2 linked regions of the Struthio camelus genome follow. The protein of the gene in region 2 interacts with the protein of the main gene of each other region in a pairwise test. Links are inferred from orthologs where the notes say so. Each region holds a gene or a part of one and is shown on either strand. Other genes may lie near its edges.

Region 1 (8,036 bases), on a different chromosome or scaffold from region 2:
AGCAGTGGGGACCAGCGTCCGAGGACATGGCTCAGAGGGGGCTTGGCTCGGCCGGGGTCTTGGCACAGGGACGCCTGCAACGCCAGCCAGTCGCCCCAGTGCCTTCACATTCCCCCCTCCGCACTCCTGCTCTGCCAGGGACCCACTGACCGCCACGCACCAGGGACCCATCACAGCGCGTCGCCAGTGTCAGAAAAGCGACGGCAGCGCAGGGCAGGTGCTTGAATTCTCTGGGGAGGAGGCGAGAGCCCATGAAGGTGATGCCAAGCATCCTTCCACGGGGCACCACAGCCCCACGGCCAGGTGACAGCTCCTGCGAGCCCATTTCTCCCCTGCATCTCCCCGTTTCTGAAAAGACACAGCGCTTCTACATCCTCCCAGCCCTTGCGTTCACCCTTTCAAACAGCAGCTGAGGGGGAAGGCAACGGGGACACTTTTATTTTCCCAGCCCGACTGCCGGTTTCCTCCAACCAGGGACTTTCTGAGAATAACTGGGCAGCAGTGCAGGCGCCCTTTGCCGTCCCCGCTCGTCCAGCCCGCACCTGCCTGCCCGTGTCTGCGGATTAGCTTCCCCTCTGACAGCCCGGGGAACTCGCAGCCAAGTTTTGTAACCCGGGAACAAAATGCAAAGCCTGCCGCAAGGAGGGGGAAAAAAAAGCCCTTCACAAACAAACAAACCGGGGCTAGAGCTGTGCCCCTCCGAGTGTCAGTCCTCTTTGAAACAAAATAAAAAATCCCCTCCCCTCCCGCCTCCTCGGGTTCCCTGTCACTTGGGACCTGAAGTTAAAGGAATTCAACAGTTTAAAGGTTGGAGGAAGCTTTGGCCAGAGTTTGAACAAAAGGATGGTCCGTGATTTTAGCAGCATTTCACCCAACTTTCCAGTACCATGTTCCTGAGTCCCACCGTCACAGTCTCACATTCTGGGCAAATAGTCCATTTATTTCTATTCTTATTTCAGATGAACGTCCTACAGCACTTGGCAAAAAGCATTCGTTGTTTCTGGGCGTTGTTTAAACTGTCCCAGTGAGAGCAATAGCTGCAGATCTGACATGGCCTTTCCGAGCCGTGCTCAGACCATGCAGCCCTGGTCCTAGCATCCCTTTTAGGAGCTTGTTCATAGGGTGGCATCTCTGCACAGTTTCCTGGGCTGGACAACAGAGGCTACTGCCCAAGGCTGCATAACTGGCCGAGGAGGGGTCCTACGGGCCACCAGTCTGCTGGGAGGCTTGGTTGTGACAAAGGAACTGGGAAGACTTTAAGGTAGGCAACATCACCTGGGGTTTGCCATGAAGTGCAATCACTGGGGTGGGCAGAGGGCACCCGCAGCCGGCAGGAGCCTCCCCACAGGCAGGGGCTCCTGTCCGCCCTGCAGAGGGTTTCCTGCACCAGCAGCCTGGTTATTAACACTAAGTCCATGAGGTAGTTCAACAGCCACCACAGTCAAGAAGTTCCTCCTGGGTTGAGCTTTCTGCACAGCCTTAAAACCTCCCCACTCAACGAATGAAGATTGCGCCTCTACACAAGTATGTGCTACAGTACTTCTGACACTCTGCAAACAACTAGCCCGCCCGACCATTCCCAGAGCAACCTTCCACCTGTTCGCACAAGGTTTGCTGAGTTTTAGATTTCTTGCAGCCACCAGATTTTAGATACATTTTAAAAGTGGATCATTATTTTTCTTGGGGGGGGGGTTGTTTTTCCTTAGAGACAGAGAGGGAGAGAGAGAGAGAAAGGCTCATTTTTGTAACCAAGGTGTGCCACACCAGAGCCCATCACGTCTCAAAGCTACCCACTAGGCACAGTACCTTTGCAGTGCAAAAAGTCCTCTGGGTTAGGGAAGGAGCCTTCTTCACAGAGCAACTCACAGGTTTTATCCGATGCCAGGGGATAGCTGTTCTCCTCCTCATTGTAGTCACTCCTGCCGTTGCTGTTGGAGTACCCATTGGCATACATCTTCAGGGCAGACCTGCGGAGGCACAGGAGCTCCTGGAAGGCATACCTGAAGTCCGGGCTCCGGCAGTAGATCAAAGGGTTGAAGGCAGAATTGACATAGCCCAGCCAGTTCAAGAGAATGTACACGTACTTGGGTATGATGTCGTCCTGGATGACGTGCACAATGTTGACGATAAAGAAGGGCAGCCAACACAGTGTGAAGGTGCCCATGATGATGCCCAGGGTCTTGAGGGCCTTGTGCTCCTTCAAGTAGAACTTGGAGGAACGGCGGTGCCCAGTTCGCCCGTTCTGCTCCTGCTCCTTGTTCTGGATGTGAAACCTCCCCTCGCTCTTGTCTATCTTCTGCAGCTGCTTCTTGGCCACCAGGAAGACCCTGGCATACACGAAGACCATGACCACGAGTGGCAGGTAGAAAGAGATGATGGAGGAGGCAATGGCGTAAGCCTGGTTGGTGAAGAAGTCGCAGCATGTGTCCTCCTTGTAGCACAGAATGGCTTCCTCACGCTCTGCCCGGTACCAATGCATCTGGATGGGCAAGAAGGAGGTGAGGGCAGAGACTACCCACACCACCAGGATGACCACGCGTGCCTTGCTCTTGGTCAGCAGGCTCTGGTACTTGAAGGGAGAGGTGATGGCGAAGTACCGGTCCACGGCGATGACACAGAGGGTCTCGATGCTGGCTGTGACACAGAGCACATCCAGAGAAGTCCAGAACTCACACCAGAAGTTCCCGAAATTCCACATCTCCATGATGATGTGGCTGGCCCCGAAGGGCACCACGGCCAGACCCATCACCAGGTCGGCGCAGGCCAGCGAGGTGATGAAGTAGTTAGTGACGGTCTGCAGGCGCTGGAACCGGGCGATGGCGGTGATCACCAGCACGTTGCCGAAGACGATGGCCAGCACGATCACGGACATGAGGATCCCCATGCCCACCATCCACACGTCCCGCGACAGCGTGGGGTCGGCGGCGGCGCTCTGGTTGGCGCTGGCGTTGCCGCCGGGCAGCGCGGCGCCCACCGCCCCCATGGCCCCCCGCGCCGCCGCCCGCGGGGCTCGGCGAGGCGCCCGCGCCTAGGGCTGCGTCGCGGCGGCGCTGCGCCGGGCGCCGCGCATACGGCGCGGCAGGTGCGGGCGGGCTGGACGCGGGCAGGGGCACCGGGCTGCGCGGCTGGGCGCGCTCCGCTCCGCTCCGCTCCGCTCCGCTCTCGCCCGTCCCGTCCCGTCCCGCGGCGGCGCCGCGCCCGGCCCCGACTGCCCCCAGCCCGTTAGGCGCCGCGGAGCTTATAGCAACACCCCGCCGTGACATCAGGACAGCGACAGCCAATGGCGGCGGCCGCCGCGCCTCTTCCCCCCCCCCCCGGCGGTGTCCCCGCGCCCCACGCGCGTCCCCCCTCGGCGGTGTCCCCGCGCCCCACGCACGCTCCCCGCCCCGCAGTGCCCCCGTGCCCCACGCGCGTCCCCGCCCCGCCGTGGCTCGGCGCCCCACGCGCATCTGCACCCCGTGGTGGCCCCGCGACTGAGTGCCATGCCCCAAGGTGTCCCTGCACTCCCACGCACACTCCCCGCCCTGCAGTGGCCCCACGCCCCATGCACATCCCCTACCCGCGGTGTCCCCACAACCAAGCGCTCCCTGCCCCAAAGTGTCCCCGTGCCCCACGCACATTCCTGCCTCATGGTGTCCCCATGACCGAGGGCTCCCCAGCCTGTGGTGTCCCCCCGCCACGCATGCGCCCCCATTCCATGGTGCCCGCACAACTCATGCACTCCCCGCTTTACAGGGTTTTCACACCCCCCTCCCCATGTACACTACCACCCTAAGCATGCCCCTCTGCCCCACGCATCACCCCATCCCATGGTGTCACCTGCCCCACACATGTCCCCCCACTCCATGCATGCTCCCTGGCCTCCAGTGTCCATATGCCCCATGCATGCTCCCCGCCCTACGTTGTTCTCACGCTCCACACGTGCCCCTGACCTGCGGTGTCCCCACACTCCCACACCCCACGCACATCTCTGCCCCACATCATGGTGTCCACGTGCCCCACACATGCTCCCTGCCCTGCGCTGTCCCTGCACCCCATGCACAATCCTGCTCTGCAGTGTCCCTGTGATCCACACGTGCTCCTTGCCCTATGGTGTCCCTGAACCCCTTCCCACATGTGTCCTCAACCCACCACGTTCCATGTGCCCCCATCCCCCACTCACTCCCCACCACAGTATATCTGCTGCTGCTCTCAGAGAGACTTTGTGTCTGGTTGGGTGCTGGGATTTGGACTTTCCTGAGAGCTGGGTGACCCTGGGGAGCGCCTGTCCTCACAGGCAACACTTTGAGACAGGGTGTCACCCACGGTCTCCATCCCTCCCAGCCCCCAGCCCAGCACCATTCCTGCGGGGAGCTGGCCACTCCACAGCCCATGGCTGGGGCAGGCACCTGGAAGCTGGCTGGTGGGACTGTGTACTGGGTGCTCGAGGTGCAGCCCAGCCCCTAAAATTGTGGTGGTGGTTGAGCACACGGAGCGCATCCCCTGACAGGGCCAAGCATGCTGGTCGGGGGCTGGAAGGCCACACAACTGCTGCACACTGCAGTCTGCCACACTACCGCCAGACATGCTGGAGACTATCAGTCACAAGTATTTCCCTCCAAAGCAAACAAATTTGCTAAATAAGGACTAAGGAATCCTGCAAAGTCCCTTTTAACCTAAAGGGAGATAACTCCACCACTTGAGTTTCATTTCTGCCTGTGCAGAAACCATCTGGCCTCGTGCTGCCCCCTTGCAGACATACGTAATGCTTCCTGCAGTGCCCAGGGGTCTGCTGGAGATGATAGTGGAGCCTGAAGGCTGTGATTTGCACAGTAATTAAAATTATCCCATGTCAGAGAAAGGGAGAATACAAAGAGTTGCTTTTGCCCAAATTTACCCACGTGCCTTCTGGCCACCAGCTGTACCAAAAGTAACTGCATCTCAGTGCCTCCTTAGGTACCCCGCATTGTCTTTGTGCCTTCCAGAAGCAGATGTTTACGAGTCACCCCAGGCTTGTGCACATAGGACTGTCCCCCACTGCCACTTCAGGATCCAGAAATGCAAACATTGCCTTTATTAATAACAGGCTTGATGGTGGAGGACTCCTGCCTAACCTTCTTTAGCTATTAAAGGGTGAATAATTTTGGATCTCATTTGAAACACATCAACCATCAGAATTTGACAGGGCTTCAGAATTCTGCCTCATTTTTCTTTCTCACTACAAGGAAATGCAAAAGTGCTAAGTGCAAGGCACGGCTTGCAGAGGGGAGCTGCCTGCAGTTGCTGTTTCTCTTGCCCGTGCCAGCACATGGCAGAAGAGCCAGACACCTTGTCTGGTCTGGCCCTGCAAACCACTAGGTGTCCCATGTCATGCATGGACTGCGTGAGCTAAGCCTAGGGCTATTTATAGAGAAGAGCAGGTTGTACACAGAGGAAGTTTTGTAGTTTAAAACAGAGGGGAAAATGAGGTGACAGCACCAGGAAATAAGATGAAAGGCAGTTTCAGTGGTATGAGATTTCTCTCTAGGCAAGGATCTTTCTAAGTATGAGCTTCCAGTACTGCTTCCATATTCCACTTTGGCATCTGCAAGCTTTGGAGTTTTTAACAAAAAGACACATGAAAAAGAGATCTGCAGGATACCTCTTTCTACTGCAAACATGCCAAGCCTTTGGAAACCAGGGGGATTTGGGTGAGTGGAAGACTAGGAAACATTAATGACCTTAAGAAACAATAATGCCCTTAGCTAAATGAGGAGTTTCAACTGACCACTGTTGAGCTAAACAGGGCTATACTTTATATACATCTGAATCAATAGGTACAACTGCAACCCCCTGACATAAGTCATTTGCTCTCCATTGGTCTTCACTAACTTTATGCCAGCTAAGGATCTGATCCCTACATAAATATAAGCTCCTTTAGCACTTGCTTGGTGCAGTATCTCTGGCTCCTGTGCACATAGGTACCCCCACACCCCCTCTGCCCAGTGGCCAGAAGCATTCACCTTGCAGTAGAAATATTGCAAGTAACTGCTGGGGAAGTGGAGCTACAAATCAGATGCAATATTGGGAGAGCAGAGCAGAATGGGGAAGGAAAAGCACTTGTGTTAACTATACATTATATTCAACCCACTTTTCCATCTTCTTTCTTAAGAGCTGATCAGAAAACTCCAGAAGGTGATCATGATAAGTTTCTGCTAATAACCTGGTGAGTGTGCTGTTTTCTGTGGATTATGCTAAAATCTGGGAATATTCAAACAGTAAACCAAAGAGTTTTAAAAAGATTTGGCTTCCTAACAGACAAGCAAATATTCATCCTTGCACGAAGCACTGTTTTGAAAGGAGGAGAAGCAGGTTTGAGAATTCAGTAGGAAACACCAACTCTGGGACAGTCAAAGCTGATCTCTCTGCTTTGGCACAAGCGGTTCAACAAGGGCATCTGGTACATGGAGAAACCCATGCTCCCTGGTAGCATTCCTATATCCTTCTCCAGAACCTGCTTCCAGACTCTGGAAATCTCTGTGGCCCAGGGTGCAGAAATCAGCAAGCCCAGCTGCTATCTAAATATTGTGCCTTTGTTGTGCTTTATTCAAAGAGTCTTGAGCCTCTGTAGTGGTTAAGGGTGTGGTGAAGGAAGTAGAGAAAGGCTGATTTTTCTTCCTAGGTTCTGCAGCTCTTTACTTGCTTGACTAATCTTTGCTCACTTACATGAGGTGTGTCAGGGTAGACCATTGGCACAAGCTGATTTCTGCGCTTGGCTTTGCATGGTCCACATCAAATGGGACTAGTGAACACAGGTTCAAAATAAAGGCAGGATTTGGCCCCACATAAAAATAAATTTCATCACCCACAACTCAACTGTATTGCTTTTGAGATTTTCATGCCCATATCTGTGCTTTGGAGTGGTTATTAGCTTTGAAGTATGTTTGAGGTTTCTTATTTAAACAAACGTAATACCAAATCTCCAAAGAAAGGTTAGGAAAAGAGTTAAGTTTGCATTTCCTATATTGGTTGCCTGAAGTGCAAGGACTCTGCTTACTCCAGAATGCCTCCTTCTGGTCCTCTGGCTTGGAGGGTGTCAAAACAAGGCACATCTCATTTGTCTCATGCAGCACATTGCTGCCACTGACCCCGCTGCTTTGTCATCACGCTAATCTTTTCTCCTTTCATAATTGGATGTGTGCTCCCTCCTTGCTGGGTGACATTTGAAGAATGGCCTGTGGGATCAATGAGAAAGGCAGGATTGATAGGAAGAGGTAATCACTTTTATTAGCCCTACTGACATAATTGGAAAAAACAGCCAGGCTTTTGGGCATGCAAAACCTTCTTCAGGACTGCGGCCAGCTGGGACACTGGCCTCAGCCCTGCTTCCCCAAATGCTTATCACAACCCGGAAGGCATGAGGCACCCGGATATTAAGCAGCTGGCCAGATGCAAGGGCTTGGAAATGGTAGCCCTCAACAGTGTTTGTCTAGAGAGGAATTTGTAAAATTCTCTTCTTGCAAATAACTGATAATATTGTTTGTATGGTATGTCACTGCCGACAGGGCTGTAAATCAGCAAAAGCGGTATGCAAATAACATTGAAGCATTCCTCTTCTTGTGGCTGCTGATTAATACCAGACCCCGCTATAGATGACCGACTTGGCATGCTCCTGATCCAACAGCAAGGGGCAGAGTTAAGACAGTTTGATAGTGCCTGCTCTGAGGGCCCTCATCCTGCATTTCCTGGTTTTCAAATGCTTTTGTTTGAGCGTGCCTTGCTTTGGCCATAAACACGCACTTAGTCAGTGCTGTGTGGAGCTGTCGAGTGTGTCCCCACAGCAACACCCGTGGCAGAGCTGTTTGTGGTGAGCATCTCAATAATGGAAAGCAGCCAGGGGAAACTTTCTGTGGGTCACCTCTGCCTTCACACCCTCTCCTATGCGTTTGTGGCTTTCAGTCCCTCTCACTTCAAACAAAACAGCTTGACAGGAGCTAGAGAGCAGGTTTGCTGTGATAACAAAACAGTGCGGCCTTGTGAGTCTTTATTCTTTTTCCTCTCCTGCTTTTTAAAGCATG
Region 2 (8,011 bases):
GATGCCAGTCCTGAACAATGGTTCAACTCTAGGCATCTGCAGAACTTTAAAGTGGGGGGAAAAAAAAGTGCAGCATCAGAATTTAAAGGGGGGTTGACAGCAGCTGAATTAATGTTTTCAGGATTACAGTTTTGAATTTTGGCAACTATGTTTCACCCAAGCTACTTTTATGATTCAGTGATGAAAGTGTAAATTCCAGAGCATGTGCGTACTGGGCAATCCTAAAGGTATCCCCTTTTCCTGTAGGGCTAAAATAATTACAGACTCGTACTACTAAAATGAAATGTAGTTGTACATTAAGCCATCTGTTTATGTAACTCTGGAAGATTCTCTCTGTTTCTTATCCATTTAAATTAGTAATATCTTCATTAAAATATGAAGTTTTGGGCATTTTCCTTTAATTTATGAAGTGACAAACTCCTCAGCACTTCAAACTGCACAGCATAAGCAGCTAATTTGGAAAAAAAGATATGGCTGTGCAAATCATTTTCAGTTACTGACCTTTAATTAGAACCAACATTACAAAGGATTGTTGCTATTTTGTATGTAGATCCACCAAAAGAGATTCAGAAAACGTGAAATGTCACCATACAAAAGTCCTAAAATAATTTAGCCACACTAACCATTTTAATCGAAGTGGTTATACTTTAATTGGAACTGTAACTACACATTTTATTAGTTAACAAAGTAGCCACAGAACTGAATTTAGAAATTTTGAGAGCTCCTAGCTAAAGTTACTGCCAATGAGTATTCTCAACAAATATGTATCACAATTGATTACATATTTCTTTCTTCTTGATAAAGTGCTTTTCTTCTTGATAAATTGATAAGGTGCACTCTGTGTTTCTCAAATCATGAAAGTGACTTACTACTGGACTTAAATTCATGTAGGTGTAGCACAGCTCCACCCTTTGTCCACCAGTAATAGCATGTATCACTTATAAAAAAAGTAACCACAACTGTTCTAGTGGCTACACCTCACATGTCTTTCTAAACATTTCCTTAAAAAATTCAGCTGGTAGGTAATTATGTATTACTCTACATCAATGTGCTGTGGAAACTGCTCTTCTCTGCACTGAAAACAAGATTAATTGTTTCTTTCTTCCCTAATACATCATTCTTAGGACCAGTAAATCAACACCTCTCTAAGCTTTAGGTTAAAGAATAATGCTGAACATAAGGTTTTGGGCATATAGCAGAGCTTGCCAGAATCGTGGGCTACGACCCTACCAACAAGCCTCAGTATTCAGTTCCAGTAAATAAATAAAGCGAACGACCTGAACGCTGCCGGCAGGACTCCGGCCAGCTGGCTGAGCGCTTCTTTGACACAGCCTCTGAACAAGTGCCAAGAGGCTGCGATTTAAACGTCATCAGGATTTTTTCTTCCTTTTTTCTTTTTTTTCCCCAAGATAAATCAAATAAATAAATGTGAGATTTGAACGCCGAAGTGTAAATGAATAGCACATACATCACATCGATGATACAATCGCCTTTTTACAACTTATTCCCAGTTACCCCTTCCTTTCACTTTTCCTGAACCAGTTCACTTTAGGAAAAACACAAACTTAAAATCTACTTCTGAGAGGATTGTTTGCCTTTCAGGACTACAAGAAGCAATAAAAGTTTGGCAGAATTGGCATGAATGGAAGAGCTACATGCGATTAGTTTGAGGTTACGGAAATTCAGGTGCTGTCGGTCCTTGCACCGGCCGCAACATCCTCGCGTCTTTTGAGGGAGCGGGGGCGGGGAGGGGAAGCGCTCCCTTCCAAAAGCGCTTAGGAAAACCAGAGGAAGCAATACCGGCCTTGCGAGGGTCGGCGGGGCTGCCCCGAGCCGGCGCGGAGCAGGCGGGCACCGGGGCACGGCACGGCTCGAGTCCCGCTAGCTCCCCCCCCCCCCCCCAAATTACCTCGATGTACGGGACGATTTTGCAGGAGAAGTCTTCTAGGAGCCACTTCTTGGTGAGCTCCTGGAAGATGACCAGCGGCAGGCAGAAGAAGACGATGAGGAAGTCCCAGAAGGCCAGGTTGGCCAGCAGGGAGTTGGAGATGCTCCGCATGTAGTAGTTGTGGCAGACGATGCACATCACTGCCATGTTGCCCATGATGCCGATGCCGAAGATCACCACGGAGAGGCACATGACGGCGTAGGCGCCGTACGACTCCTCGGTCAGCGGGTAGAAGGGGTTGCGGAGGCGGCCGCGGCGCCCCGTGCCGTTGCCGCGGGCCCCGGCGCTGCCCTCGGCGCCGCCGCGGGCCGAGCCGTTCAGGGGGAGCCAGCGCGGGCCGCCCGCCGCCGCCGCCGCCGCCGCCGCCGCCGCGCCCCTCCCCGCCGCCGCGCCGGCTCCACGCGCGCTCCGCGCGCGGCGCCGCCCGGCCGCCGCCGCCCCGCGCGGAGCGCAGGTGCCGCCCGGCCCCGCGGCTGCCCGCTGCCCCTCGCCGCCGTCCCGCCGCGGGGCAGCGCCGGGAAGGGCCCCGCGCCCGGGGAGAGCCGCGGCCGCCGCCCGCCGCGGCGCCGGGGCGAGGAGGGTCGCGGTCGCGGTCGGGGCCGGCGGCGAGCGCTCGGTGCGCGACTGCAGCCCGCCGGCCGCCCCGGGGGCCAGGGCGCCGGCAGCCCAAGCCCCCAGCAGCTGGCAGAGCAGGGCGAGGGCAGCGCCGCGGGGCCGCATGGCTGTGAGGCGGCGGGGCTCCCCGGACCCCTTTAGAGGCAGCGGCCGCCCCGCTCGGCGGGGCTCGGGGTAGGTGCCATGTCCGCCCGGCAGAGCGGGCCGCCCGGCCCGCCCGGGGTGCCGGTGCCTCTCGCTCGGGAGCGCGGCTCCTGCTGCCGCCGGGGGATGCGCCGCGGGGGGCGGCCGGCACTCGGGGCGCGGCGAGAGGAGGAGGAGGAGGAGGGAGGCTCTTCTCGCAGCCTCCCGGGGCAAACCCGGGAAAGTTGTGTCACCGTCTCCGCCGCTCCGAGTTAATGTAGCAAGTGCCGCGCCGGGAGGACCCCCCTCCGGCGCTCCGCCCTTTCCCGGGGATCGTTGCCTTCTTGCTAACAGTTGCACCGGGTCTTGTGCTGCCCATTTACATCCTCCCGCCGCTGCCTGTAGTTGGTGGCTTTATTGGTAAGGAAAGGTCCCTTGTGGAAAACGCCTCCCCTCTCCGGGTAACTGCAAGCACTAATTCCTCTTCTCCGGCAACCTCGGAGAAAACCGGTTGCTACACGCGGCTTAGGGTGTTTAAGAGCTTTGCAAAACTCTCGCCGGGTTTAATAACGGCGCTGCGTAAGCGCCTGCACTGAGGCGGAGGTGGGGGCGCACGACCGGCGCCGCAAAGTTGCTGGTCGCGGTTCTGGCGATGCCGGCGAGAGCGGCCGGGGCTCCCCGCCCCGGTAACGTGCTGCTCGGCTGCCTCCGCCTCTGCGAGCCAGGCGGCCGGCAGCGAGAGCCAGAAGCAACGGCAAAAGCCGCCCGGCAGGCAGAGCAGCGGGAGAGCGGCGGCTGCGCTGCTCGCCCGGCAGGCACGGCTGCCCGCCGGCTCTGGCCGCGCTGCGCCCCGCTCGGCTCGGCTCGGCTCGGCTCCGCCGCGGCTCCCGGGCGCGCAGGGGCGGCGGGCAGCGAGCGCGGCGGCCCGCAGTGCGCACGCGCCGCCCGGCGGCGCCGCGGGGCCAGCGCTGCCCTCCCCGCCGGGCGGCGGCGGCGGCGGCGCGGGGTCCGCCCGCCCGCCCTCCCGGTCCGCTGCCCGCCCGCCCGCCCGGCGGCGGCGGCGGCGGCGGCGGCGGCGGCGGCGAGGCAACGGCCTGGCAGCCCCCCGGCTCCCCTGGCTGGAGGAGCAGAGGGACCGATTCCTCTGTCCTGTCACCGTCGAGGGGCAGCGGGTGAAGGGAGGCAAATCCTCAGGTGGAAGGAGAAACGGCACGGTGCCGCCGAAGGAATGGCGTCCACGACTTCACCCCTGCGGCTCACGAGTGCCCGGAGCACCTCCCGGTATTTTCAGTGCTTGAGGAGGCAGGCTTACCTTTCTTTCCGGTTTTGAACGTTTTTGTATGCTTTTATTTCTGGTCTTTGTACAGTCAGAAGGCTTTTCCAGCTTGCTCCTCTTGTTTCTCATATTTTTCATTCCAGTGACTTCTTAGTTGACCAAAACTGGATGGAGTAAATATTTCACTGTAAGTAGCCTTAAATTGTGGGGCACTCCATCATTCTCATTTCCATTTTAAGAGGTTTTTTTTTTGTAGCTTATTTCCAACACGTTTCTAACAGTTTTAACTGTATCCCATAAAGCTGTTTGAGAGCCATTCATTTTTTTTTTCCTCTCTCAAACTCTCTTAACCCATTTGGTTTAAAGACCAGAACGTTAGTCAAGGTGATGAGAGCTCCTTGTTTCACGGACTGGATTCAGGACCATGGATCTGATCTAGTCCTGTGAACTTCTTCCTTGAGGCCAATCTTTAAAGTCTTGACAGTTGTGCATGTAGCCAGTACCGGCAGGTTAGGGCCCTGTCTTTTCTGTATTAATAGTCAACAGAGAAAACCATGTAAGTCTACAGCAGTAGAACATACATCACACACACACATAGGGCCACATCTATCAGATAGAGTAAAAGACACAAGACTACTACCATTGATTTCAATGGGGTTGACTCAAGCTGCAGTGACAAAAGGACCCTTCCATATGAATTGTTAATTATTATTTATTTATACAAGCACAGCTTCACAAACTCACCTAACTGCCAGGAAGTTAGGCCTTTACATAAAGATACTCACTGTGTTTTATTATCAATGGAGAGAGCAAAGTGCCTTCTGAAGACCATTAATTCCATATTAATGTCCAAGGTATGTGGTATAAATTGCTCTCTGGAGATGCTTCTCTCTCACTGTTGTACCCTAGAAGGAGCCTAGAAAACTATTTTGGATAAAAAGTCTGACTTTTTAATGGCTAAAATTAGTGAGTCAAGTCTCATCCAAATCAGATGTAGCGCCATGCCGCTGGGCAGGTGCTATAGTTATGCAAAAAGACACTGGACAAACTGAAAAGTTCTTCCTTTTCCTGAAACCATTCTCTCATACGTTCATGTGAGGTGTGACTGTGGGAAGTCTGAGATGTTTCTAAGCTTAGGAAAACAAGTGTAAAAATTAGGCACTGCTACGTCCCTTAATATAAATTAGGCCATTTTATTCTTATTCATCCTTAGCAATATAAGTATCATTTGGTGGAGTTAAATGGTTAAGTTTTGTCTAATAAAGATATTTATGAACAGGAAAAAATGACCAGCAGGAAAATAAAATAATGCTTAGTATATTTTACCCTTTTTTTCTTATATTTTTTCTCCCATTTGCTTGTTCTGAGCTCAGCTGGTGCATAAAAGGAGTTAATGATGATAATGAGCTTACATTTACTGTGCCTTTCTTCCTGAAGAGTCCCAAAGGGCATTGCAAACAGATATGATAAATTCACTGCTTGCTCTTTAAAGGATACTGCGGAATATTTCTTCTGGCTTTTATATGGAAGGAGCAGACGGGAGTTAGCAAAGGTACTGCCCTTCTGCATACTTCTGGAAGAAATATGGATCGCAAAGAGTAAGGTTAAGCAGTATTTGGTTTACGTCACAGATCCTTTACTGGTGAGATAAGAACCGAGCAGTGCATCATTTTTTCAGTGTCAGCATTCCATCTGGTTTGTAATACAGAAATTTGTTTTCTGAACACAAAAAAGGGCTCCTAAGTTATTGTCCTCTGCCTACAAATTTGTCACATTTATCTTACTTCATTAAGTGTTTGGTTTGTTACAAAGAGCAGTACATGCAAATACTTAGATTTTCTAGGCTGTTCCCATAAAATCACCCTGCCTAGAATGGAGGAGCTTGTGGTATCTATATAGCTGTGATCAAAGTGCTCTTCTGGGCTTTTGTCTTGCTAAAACCTTGTACATGCAAGAGGTGATATTCCTTAGGGGTTTCTCATCTCATTGAGACATAGATTTGTGCAGGGTTAGGATTGACGTGCTGCTTCTGCACCTCACCGTAATTACTTAGTTCTGTCAATCTGCAAAGACCCTCTTTAGCTGGCTTTAAAAACAATTAATTTACTGTTATTATATTCCCCTGTTTACAATGTCAGTGTTGCTGCCTTGTAAGATGCTAGAAGTTAGTGTCTGAAGATGTGGGTTTCCCAGTTTCTTTGGTTTCAACTACTCCATTAAAAAATTGTACAGTCCATGTAATTTCTGGGGGATTGTTAGTTTTTTTACTTATGTCCAGTGTCTTTCATATCAGTGAGTTGTTTCTTATGATAAGATCTGCCTTTAGGATGACTTTCCTACTCTGTCACATTCTAATTCTTTTAGTTCAGTCAGGCTTTCACAACTTTGTAGTGTGCTCCTCTTTTGAAGGAGTTCTACATATTTTGACAATCCTTCTACCAAATCATGCATCAGCCTAGAAATAGTCTCACAAACCACAACCAGACGATTATATTTATAACACATTAAAAAAAATTCTCTGCTAGATGATGGAACTGAAATTTGGAGATGTTTTTGCAGCCAAGATCTATAATAGGAAAGATAATAAATGTTTCTGTATGAAAAAAATATAAAATTATGGAATTTGAAAGGTTTTCAAATACATTCATTCTTTTTTCTGTTCTTTCACATTTCAGCGATGGTAAAGAAATCAAAAGTTTTCAATGCTTACAGCATGTTTTTTTTTTTTTTTGACATCTCCCATACTTATTTGCGTAAGTGATAATCTTAGCCTGAACATGTTAGGCTTTTGCAGCGAGAAGGGATTATTACTGTCTTGCTTAGCTCTCCTCAGGGTTCAGTTGGTCAATGAAGAAGAAAAAGAGTAAATTTCCTAGAATAATTTTTGTTCTTTAGTTTTAAGCTCTGGCATGTTCAGTCCCCATGCACTGCACTGTCCTTCCTCATTTAGAACAAAAGAACAACTTTTTTCCCTGCTTTTGATAAACTGATCAGTTGACACTGTCTCCTTATATCTCACTGGGTTTTGATGTATATTACTGTGTAAGAGAAATCTTGAGTTCGGAGATAACTTATTTCCTATGATGCAGTATCACTGGGATTTTTATTTCCAAGAGATCAAAATCCCCTAAACCATCGAAGGATTTTTATTGTTGATGTCAGTTGCTTATATGGCTGGACCAGGCTCAGTGATAATAAACAAATGTTGAAAAGGTTTTAAGTTGAAGTTCGAAGAGGAATTCAAAGTTTAATGGTAATATTGGGAATTTCTTGTAATTACTGTTGTGTTTCTGCATTTATTGACGTCCATTAAGAAAGCTTACAATGGCTCCTGAGTATATGTTGCTATTCCTATCTGGCTTCACATTTTTCTTTTTAAACTTTCTCTTCTCCTAAAGTCTGAATTCTGTTCTAAAGGGTCAGCATCAGTTGCCCATATCACAGAGTCCAAGTAGGTTTGTTTTTAAAGTTGTCCTTGTTTTGAAACATGATTACCAACAATCCTTCTGTTTTTATTAGTAATAAAAAGGCAAGCGATCCACATTACGTGGAAAACTAAAATGTGACTGATTACCACTTTGCTGTCCTATATTTTATCCAAAAGGCAGAAGAATATGTAGAATACCTAACAACCTCAATAGTTGGAGAGGGAAGAAGATAAAGTCAATACTTTTTCTAGAGGTGCATTACCTGGGGAGTAAGTTACATTTGTATAAAGTGGAGTTGGGGCAAAAGAGTATCTATTATTAGCAAATATTCTTAAGAGACCATAGATTAAGACAGTGAGAGTAAAACCACGTCAATTATGTCCATCCACACCAAGTCAACTTACTTTAGGCTCTCATGTTTAGCATCATCCATTTTACTAGTAATCATGTTCATGAATTTCTGTGCACAAACAGAAAAGCGCCCCCAATAATCTACAATAATCCCCTAACAATCTACTAGAGGTGAGATGGGAAGGTATTTTTCTCCTTTGCCTGGCTATAAAATTCACATCAGGAAAAATTAATAAAATCTTTCCTTTTTAAAAAACTTTATCCATGTTT

Evidence for each region. The genes of interacting proteins can lie anywhere in the genome.
Region 1: the proteins of GPR37 (region 2) and ADRB2 interact in a protein complementation assay, tested with the Homo sapiens proteins (2 studies listed by BioGRID and IntAct, with this or other methods). The link is inferred for Struthio camelus from reciprocal best matches to the Homo sapiens genes GPR37 and ADRB2.

Annotation. Positions count from the first base shown.
Region 1 is NC_090954.1:7,879,313-7,887,348, forward strand, and holds the start of ADRB2 (beta-2 adrenergic receptor), read right to left. Parts: upstream 3,011-8,036; 5' UTR 2,984-3,010; coding exon 1,807-2,983; intron 1-1,806. UniProt on the Homo sapiens protein: Beta-adrenergic receptors mediate the catecholamine-induced activation of adenylate cyclase through the action of G proteins. The beta-2-adrenergic receptor binds epinephrine with an approximately 30-fold greater affinity than it does norepinephrine.
Region 2 is NC_090942.1:24,529,995-24,538,005, reverse strand, and holds the start of GPR37 (prosaposin receptor GPR37), read right to left. Parts: upstream 3,090-8,011; 5' UTR 2,669-3,089; coding exon 1,910-2,668; intron 1-1,909.